2 linked regions of the Caenorhabditis elegans genome follow. The protein of the gene in region 1 interacts with the protein of each later gene in a biochemical or structural test. Each region holds a gene or a part of one and is shown in the gene's direction. Other genes may lie near its edges. The genes, in order: nlp-22 and gnrr-3.

What was found.
Region 2: the proteins of nlp-22 (region 1) and gnrr-3 interact in a test that uses a peptide from one of them, tested with the Caenorhabditis elegans proteins (one large-scale study listed by BioGRID).

What each region holds. Positions count from the first base shown.
Region 1 is NC_003284.9:2,340,761-2,343,992, reverse strand, and holds nlp-22 (Neuropeptide-Like Protein), read left to right. Parts: upstream 1-1,903; 5' UTR 1,904-1,928; coding exon 1,929-2,012; intron 2,013-2,409; coding exon 2,410-2,634; downstream 2,635-3,232. Other genes in the region: nlp-23 (Neuropeptide-Like Protein), read left to right, coding at 1,055-1,129, 1,197-1,535.
Region 2 is NC_003284.9:10,047,468-10,053,203, forward strand, and holds gnrr-3 (G-protein coupled receptors family 1 profile domain-containing protein), read left to right. Parts: upstream 1-1,992; coding exon 1,993-2,123; intron 2,124-2,522; coding exon 2,523-2,656; intron 2,657-2,697; coding exon 2,698-2,800; intron 2,801-2,849; coding exon 2,850-3,009; intron 3,010-3,064; coding exon 3,065-3,208; intron 3,209-3,893; coding exon 3,894-3,998; intron 3,999-4,048; coding exon 4,049-4,140; intron 4,141-4,192; coding exon 4,193-4,283; intron 4,284-4,786; coding exon 4,787-5,014; downstream 5,015-5,736.

The sequences.
Region 1 (3,232 bases):
TATGTACAAACACAGCCAGATTACCGGAATGAAATCGTGTTCTGTTTTTTAGAGTTTTTTAGAGCCCAGTTTCAGAGAGTAATGGTTCGGAAAGAAGTTTCAGACAGGGTGAATATGAATCACAAACTATTTTGATCGGGGATTTTATGCAATATAAAGTCAGATTTACTAATATAACATGTAGGTCAGTTCAAAAAATTTTGTTGAAATCAATTTGTTGAGCCATGTGTCCACTACCAGTGTGCCAAGTTTGAAGGCACGTATGGGTCCGATTAAAATTTGCTCTTTTTCTTTTAGCCTTCCAAAAAATTGTCTCCATACAATTGAATAAATTCTATATGTAATCGCACTGACAATATTGAAACCTTTTTTTTTTCAAAAATTTTCAAAAATTCAAAAAATGCAAAAACTCACTGCCTACTGTTATTCAAAACTGTACTAAATGTATGCCGGTTCGCAATTTTTTTTTGTGTAAGCTGAATTAAAAAATTCTCAGAGGGGTACCCTGTTGTTTTGATCGATGTTCAGCTCATTATGGAAACGTTTTTTTTTCTAGTTGGAAAAACATCAGTGACGTGGGATAGTATCATCTTCAGCTCGTCGTCAGTAAATTGTTAAGAAAAAAAATATTTTGAAGGGAAATCAGATTGTCCAATTCCAAAATTAAATTATAATTAGCCGCCTATAAAACCCAAATCTGTGGCAATTTTTCCGCAGTTCTTCCAGGCTTTTCCGCATTTGACCTTTTTATCACTGATGAGGAGGTATTGGAATTTTGAATGTATGTACCCAAAATGTGCTCAGATGAGCAAATTTCTAAACTTCTCAAAAAAAATTGTTTTTAGTTCCTAGATACACCTATAGTCGTTGTATTCTATTGTAGAAGTGTAGTCCCTTTACGAAATCGTTAAAAAACTCGTAAAAATCCGATCCTCCAAAATATCGTAGTGTCAGTTTTCCGGACTACAAGACCACGTTTTCTTAATAGGTGCTATAAAAAGAAAGACGAGCAGAAGGATGTCCTCAGTCCCACCTGATATCACTTTCAAAGTCAATGGCAGCTCACCTCGTCATTTGGATGGCACTTCTTGGAGTCTCAGCTCATGCTTTGGAGCTGGGTTTTTACTCGGTGAGCTCATATGAACTGAGCTACTTATTTTATCATTTTATGTAATTGTAGCAAATGAACATTTCAGGAACATCCAACGTCTAAAGATGATTCCTACGAATCCCAACTTTTAGATTCTAATGACCTAGACCAAGATGATGCTGTCGACTTGGCGACCCCTATGATTGTTATCCCAAACGACGAAGATGAGATCTATGCCGATGAAGAACCGGAGCCACTAACTATGGAGAAGCGTCTTTATATCAGTCGTCAAGGATTCCGGCCAGCAAAGCGATCAATGGCAATTGGCAGAGCTGGAATGCGCCCAGGGAAGCGTGCATTTGCAGCTGGATGGAACCGCGGAAAGCGATCAATGCCATTTGCAGAGAGCTATTATCCTCTTTACCGCAATGATTTCTCGGAGTAAATAATTTTTGGAATTTCTACAAACATTAATTTTTACTTGTGAATCAAATAAAGTATCTGTATGAAATGATAGCAAAGACATGAGTAATCATCACTGATCACTAGAATAAGGAACTTTTATCATTCTAATTTGAAACCCACGTTTCCAGAGAACAAATCATTGTGGGTGTAAAGCAGTAGTTTTTGTGCAATTTTTCGCATGTTACTTTATGAGTTCACAAAACCGAGAGCAACGTTTTCCAAAAAAAACATTCACCGGTTCCGGTCGTTTAACCGTTTTGCTCCGCCTTAGATGTAACAGAGCAAAAAGCATATAAATTCTGGCCGATCGAGTTGTGCTCACTATACCCCCGTTTTTTATTCTTTTTTATTCTCGAACTTTCCCAACTCGGAAATGCGTTCCATAATCGTCTTCATCGGATTGACGATCTTCGCGTTGGACATTCTTCTGGTCCAGACCTCAGCTCTTGGGCTTCAGGTTAGCTTTACACAATGTTAAAGGAAAAGGGTACCGATCAAATTGTGTTTACGACGGTTCAAATTTTCGAAAAAAGACCTAGATGTGTTTGTTTGTAAATTAGCCTTAAATCCCCAAAAATTTTTTTTTTTTATTATTGACTCAATTTGCACATTTACATCGTTTTTTTAAGTTTAAAATTTCAAGCGGATAGGCAACCAATAGGTTACAAAATTTCAATTTCCGTCCGAATTAGGCCATTTTTATGCGAAAATTTTGAACCGCCACAAAAAAATATTGAAAAACTTTCGCGAAAGTTTATTAAAAAATTCATTCATTTGAGGATATTTTGAAAGTATAAGTTCAAAAATTCCCAAAATCGAGTTCCTTCAAATGGCAACAAGCACCGTAATTTCAGGGTGGAATCGATGTCTTCCGCGGATTAGGAGTTGTCGATCAAGTCGATTTCAATCAGATCCTTCACCGAGCAAACTACCTGCGCAACACTCGTGAGGGGCGCTTGCGCTATTGGAGACTCCGAACCCTTCCAATCATGAAAAAGTCGATTGCGATTGGGCGAGCCGGATTCCGTCCAGGGAAACGAACAACGGACGAACTAACTGGATTCCCAATCGGAGTATGAATTTTCTGATGTTAATTGTTAACCGGATCATTCCGATATGTTTAACGCTACACCAATTATTTCGTATTTTGCATTGTTTTCATTTATCTGTCTAATTATTCTCAATAAACAAAACTGTTAACTTGAGATTTTTTCTTTAAAACTTCGTTTCAAAAATGCCATTTTTTCTGCAGAAGCTAATAAAGAAGGCTATGAAAAAAGTACAGTGGTGGGCACACATCATACGATTTTCAAAACCAGACTAATTCAGAGTCAATTAAACGCCTCCAAAATACTCATGAGAAAGTGGAACCGAAGTTGGAAAAAACGGGAGAAAATTAGTCTGCTATTTTGCTCGGTTTCAAGTTTTTGATATCTTGTGTTTCGGACTCAAAAATCTGAATCTGAAACTTTGTTTTATTGGTTTTTTTTTAATGTTTAAGTTGTCCAGTTTTAAAGGCCCAGTTGCACCAATGAGCCGAAATTTGTTCCAACAATTTCCATGAAAATGTTTTATTGCCAGTCAAAAGTGGCAAATACTGAGTTTTGGCCACTTTTAGGCAAAACTTTAGCACTGTCGTATTTTTGTCTCCTGTAGGAAAATTGTTATTTGGCAGAT
Region 2 (5,736 bases), 7.7 Mb from region 1:
GAGTTTGTGAAGGATAAGTGTCACTCTTCGGACACAAATTACAGCGGATTTCAAACTTTAAACCAGGAGTGAAAGAGAATAGGATTGTTGGAAACGGTTGATTTTGAATTTGTGATTAGATGATTCGCTTATCTCCGAAGTTTGAGTTTTAAACTCCAAGCTCAATGAATTAAGAAAAAGGTTCGGATGGTTGACCGAACATCAAATTGTGAAGAAAGGGGTAAAGGTCAAAAGTTAGAAAGTTGAACTCTAGTGGTTTAAAATATTAAATCAAAAGGAAGAGAACAATGGGTTAGGGTTCTCGGTTGAAATGGAACACACATTTTCTTTGGTTACATCTATATCTGTATTCAACAATCTCTGGTACATGTGTTTTTTGTCGTGCATTTTAGTATGAAATATCAATCGAAATGAACAAAATTTGACAAATGAATGAAAATATAACTGCGAAGGCCGGTCGGCGTGAGGCCGGCGTGAGGCGCCGCCGCCGCGCCGCTCTCACATGGAAGCCCTACTTTATTCACTTCGATCTTTTTATAGTGTTTTAAATACTTTCCAATTTGAGAAACACGGAACATTTCTGAGAAAATCGTAAATCTTATGAGTTTTCTGGGTGGATTACTTATTGGAAACCAAGACTGCCAAATGGGTTTTTGAATGTTCTCAAAAACTGTCGGTTTTTGCCATTAGGATTAAAAGCGGGAGAAACGAGCTCTCAGAACTTATACGTTTCTCTAGTTTCTTTTTCCGTTCCACTTACTCGTACTCATAAATATGATGTAGTTTTCAAATGGTTTCTAGAACCAAATACATCACGAAAATGTATATTTCTAATTTCCTACAATGCGATGTTGCGGGTCGTTGTTTTTTCATAAGAGAGATTTCATTCAGTTCGTTAGTAGTTCCACTTTTAATTTGATACTTTGTTTGTAATGTAATTTTTAACGATGATCAAGTTTTTTTCAACGATCATTAATATGTTTGTAATCACAACATTACACATTTCCGAATACTGTGCTAGCAATTAATAGATGCACAAATGGTTTTTGCTGTGAAAAAATTCTGTCCAATAGGATTTGTTTCAAGTTTTTTTTTTTAACTTTGATTATTGTTAACCATTTTACTTTGATTCCTGCAGTTGCTAATTCTCCAAATAGATTTTATGTCGGTTTTATTGAAAATTTAAGAAGTAATAATAATAATAAATATTATATTTTTAAATTACCGTTGTCGGTACTTGTTGAGATAACCAATACTGTAAAATTATGAATGCGATGGCAAATTGAATAAGCATTTTTGCATCTGGACATTTAAATACTGCATTTTGTTGGTTTTTTTTAAACATTTGCATGACTGAGTCTCAGCAAGATCTTTCAAATGTTTTTCCTTTGGTATTTTCCAAAGCAACTTTCAAACATTTCTAATTTTTTGAAAAACTATATTTTTTCTCAGTTGTGATTTCACCACAGGTTCAAAAGTTTACATCAGACTGGAAAGCTCCAAATATTGTTGTTTATAAAGAAAAATACTTTTCATCGACGATAATTGCAGTTTTCACGCCAATATTGCTATGTCTGCCTAAAGCTAACATATTTGTAAAGCAAAACTACGCCGGTTGATTCTGACAATCCTTTGGATTCAAATAGTTTCTGGAGTTATTCTCTTGTTTTCACACTTTTCTATGTTTTTCGTTTAACACTCCAGCCACCGTATCATTTAGCAGTAGTAACATCTGTCATGGCATCGTATTATTTACCAGCTCGATGAATACTACATATTTCTTCGCAAAAATGAAAAAAAAAAACGCAATTTTGTATGCCGAAAGTGGTAGTTTGTATAATCAAGCCCCTCCTATCTCGGTTTTCGTTTTACCACATCTCACTCATTTCTCATTTCCGGACAGTCACCAGCAAAGACACCTCACTTCTTTTTGCTAGTTTTTTTTCATTACTTACACTATACTACAATTCCAATTGTGAAACTTTTCAGAAAATGAACAACTCAACATCGGATACGTTTGTCATGATGCATTCGACTTCAGAAGTTATCGAAATGTTTTACCAGCTTGCATTTTTCATAATTGGTACTCCAATCAATATTTTTGCTTTTGTCAAAACAAGTCGGTAAGTGTTGCTAGAGCTAATACTCTTCTAACACTATAAAAGTAATAATAGCTAATTTCACATTTTGCAAATGGTTTGTCAGTTAAACTAATCTTATGTTAGTTCTGCATGCAAGACTAATTTTTATTAGTCTTAAGCACTGCAATATTAATAGAGAGAGCTGCAAGGCTATTTTCCAAGAAACCGGGGGGTTTTAAGTAATTGCAGATCCTTTTTGCATACTCGACTATCCGTGATTTAAAATTCGAACGATAAACAGTTTACTGAAGTACCTGCATAACCTAAGCCGCGCATATAATTTATTCACGTGCCAAACTATTACAAAACTGATTAAAAATTACAGTCATCGTTTTGATGTTTATTTTTTGTTCATGTTTCTAATTTTATTTGTATATTCAGAAATGTTCGAGAAGGAGGCGTGGAGTCCAGACTGGTCAAGCTTAGTCGACAGCTACTTATTGCCCACATAATGGTTCTTTTTATGTACGGGATCTGGAGAAGTTATTGGATATATAATATCGTCTGGACTCAAGGTGTAGATAATCATTTGAATAATAATTTTATTGTTTTTTAGGAGACATTATGTGTCGAGTATTCAGTTTTCTTTGTGCTCTGCCTTTTCATCTTTGGTCGAACATGGTAGCAGCTATTGCAATTGACATGCTTTGCTGTATTACGTAAGTACTCTATATCGGAATCACTGACTTATATAGTTTTTTTTTTCAGATCTCCACTGAGCAGCTATCGAACAGGGGCAAACCGAGTTAATTGGCTTATTACTCTTGCGTGGGGCTTTGCAGTTGTATGTGCATCACCAATGAGCATTCTGCGTGGAACCATTCAGATCAACGATGAAGATATGTATCAATGCTACCCAAGAACTGATGTATGTCAATTTCCTGTAATATCTAAACGAATTCTGTTAACATATAACGTTTCAGGTATTCAATGATGATGTGTTAATTGCATTCAACCTGTTTCATGTCATAACTTCGTTTTACATTCCATTGTTGATTGTTATCATATGCTATTTGGCTATCGGGGTATCGATACGGAAACAAATGGCGGAACGTCGTTTATTACAGGTATAATGCAATTTTGAAAATCTAACTTTTCAAGTGGAGGAGCCTAAGTTACGGAAATGTTGAAAACTAAGGATACATTCTCGATGAAATTCTGAGAAGCCAAAATTGTTCTACTTTTTTACTTCACCAAAACTTTCAGTGAAAAAATTCAACTTTTTTAACATTTTCTGGCTTATAAATTTTATAAATTTTAAAAATGGAAGCTGAACTCTTAAGTGCTTTAAAAAATGTGGAAACGTAACTCATGAGTGACTAACTTGTTATAGACAGTCTTATTTTTTTCCAGTGATCTTATGATCTGTATGATCTAAATATATCTGAAAACAGAAATTCATTTTTGGGTATAGAATGACTATTAATAACATTTTTGATTTGGTTACTGGAATAACACATCAATTGTATCCTTGAGAAAAGAAAAAAAATTTAACAAACAATTATCTGCTTGAAATCATCACACCTGGTATTTTCTAATGACAAAATAGTTATTTTATTCGGTGTAAGCAGATTAAAGCAAACAAATATGTATCACTGATGATTTTTTGTTGTGAAATTATGCAAAAACAGTTACACTAAAAACCAACAAATAATCAAATTAAAAATTGGAAAAATAAATTCATACAATTAACTTCATTTATTTTTCCAATTCGATACACGTAACAATTAAAAAACATAAACATATTTGTAGGACGGAGGACAAAGTGGACAAAAAACGAACAACACGAAAGCAAGATTTCTCAGAGCTTCTGTGGCAATTATTTGTACGTTCCTGTTCACATGGCTTCCATATCAAGTAGGCAAACTTGAAGTATCGTTTCAGTTATAGATACCGTGAATTTTAAGGTTTTGGCTCTTCTTCGAATTGTCTGTGTTTCTGAAAATTGCCAGGAAATTGTGAGCAAACTGAATTGGTTACAGGCAATTATTATAGCAAGGTATTCAGGAAAAAACATTCATTAATAGTTTTCCCTAATTGTTCTTATTTAGCACGTGCATCAATCCATTCCTATATCGTTTTGGCACTGAGCCAAAAAGAAACTCGTATTACTGCAGTACTATGGACACTGCTGGTAAGGAGGTATGCATGACGGTCAAGTGTTTTTCTTCTCTTTACCTCCGACACTCTCTCACTTCAAAAGCCCTTATCTAATCACGTGGTTAATTTCAACTCCCCTTCTGGAAACCGGTTATTTTCTATAACAAAATTTATCAAACTGCACGTATTTACGTCTTTTATCATTTGAGATAGAGTTCATGATATTCTCAAATTGATCAACCAATTTATGATGAGATGGCGTCAGTTGTCGAAATGGCGTCATACAAAAAGAGACTAGAAACACAGCTTATTAATTTGTGAACGTTCACATTTCAATTAAAGTGACCTTCTTCTCCTAAAAAATTTTTTTAGATTAAGTTTGCAGTAAATCCCCGCAGGTGGTGTGATTTTAGAACTAGACATTGTTAATTACACTATCACACCGTCTATCTTCTAATCACATTTCTCTTTTTCTTGCAACAACGACCTGTTCCACCACCACCTAGAACTACATTTTTCGCATCTTGATCAGCATCACTTTGCAGGAAGTCGGTCTATCCGCCGATCGACGACGGTCCGGGAAGCCGAGGCCCAGCGGATTGTTGCCGCAGCAAATCGCGCACACCGAGAACAAAACTCCTCCCAAGTGTCGCCTCGAGGTACACGCGCCACGGTTCGAGAACAGACGCGCGTCGCAAATCGACTCAAAAACACCAAAAGTAATGAGGTTTAGATGCACCGGATCACTTGACGGAAAAGCTGGCAGATGCTGAGGAATGACCATCAATTTGAAATATTTCGTGTATATTTTTATGTAACAAACTGGAACTTCTGATCGTTGAAAAACTTTTGTCGAACCAACAATGCGAAGATGTACATTATGTGATGTAGCACATTCCTCTGTTTTCAAGAATAATCCCTTCTGAGAAAAATTAATTTATGGTAATAAAACTGAGTGTGCTCTTTTGAAAGTGTTGTTGCATTTTTTGGGAGAAAGTTATGGATGTTAAAAAAAAAACAATTCCTATTCGTAAAATATCTTCTCGTGAAAATTTTTGGAATCTGGCCCAAATGCATGGTAGTACACTTTGCATATTGAAGCCATATAAAATTCATCTTTCAAACTAAAAACTTTCGGAAAAACGGTGAATCTCAAGGAAATAAATATTTTATTTGTTCCCGAGAAAACTATAAAATCTTACAGATCAAATGAAATTTTTTGATCATTTTCTGTTCCGGTTTGTTTCTTTTTTGCAATCCCCTTCTTTTGTTGTTTGACCTGTGTTTTCCCAAATTCCCATCCAGACACCACACTACATACAAATAACTGCAATAAATCTTGCCACAGCACTATAATCTAATTGCTCGTTGTTGCAGTAGTAATATACCTGTCTAGAGGTTACTCTTCTTTCCAACACCTGTCCTTGCCTTTTTATTGTACACTCTGCTCTCTGTCTGCACTCCCATTCTTTTTCGTTCATCTCTCCCTGGCTCT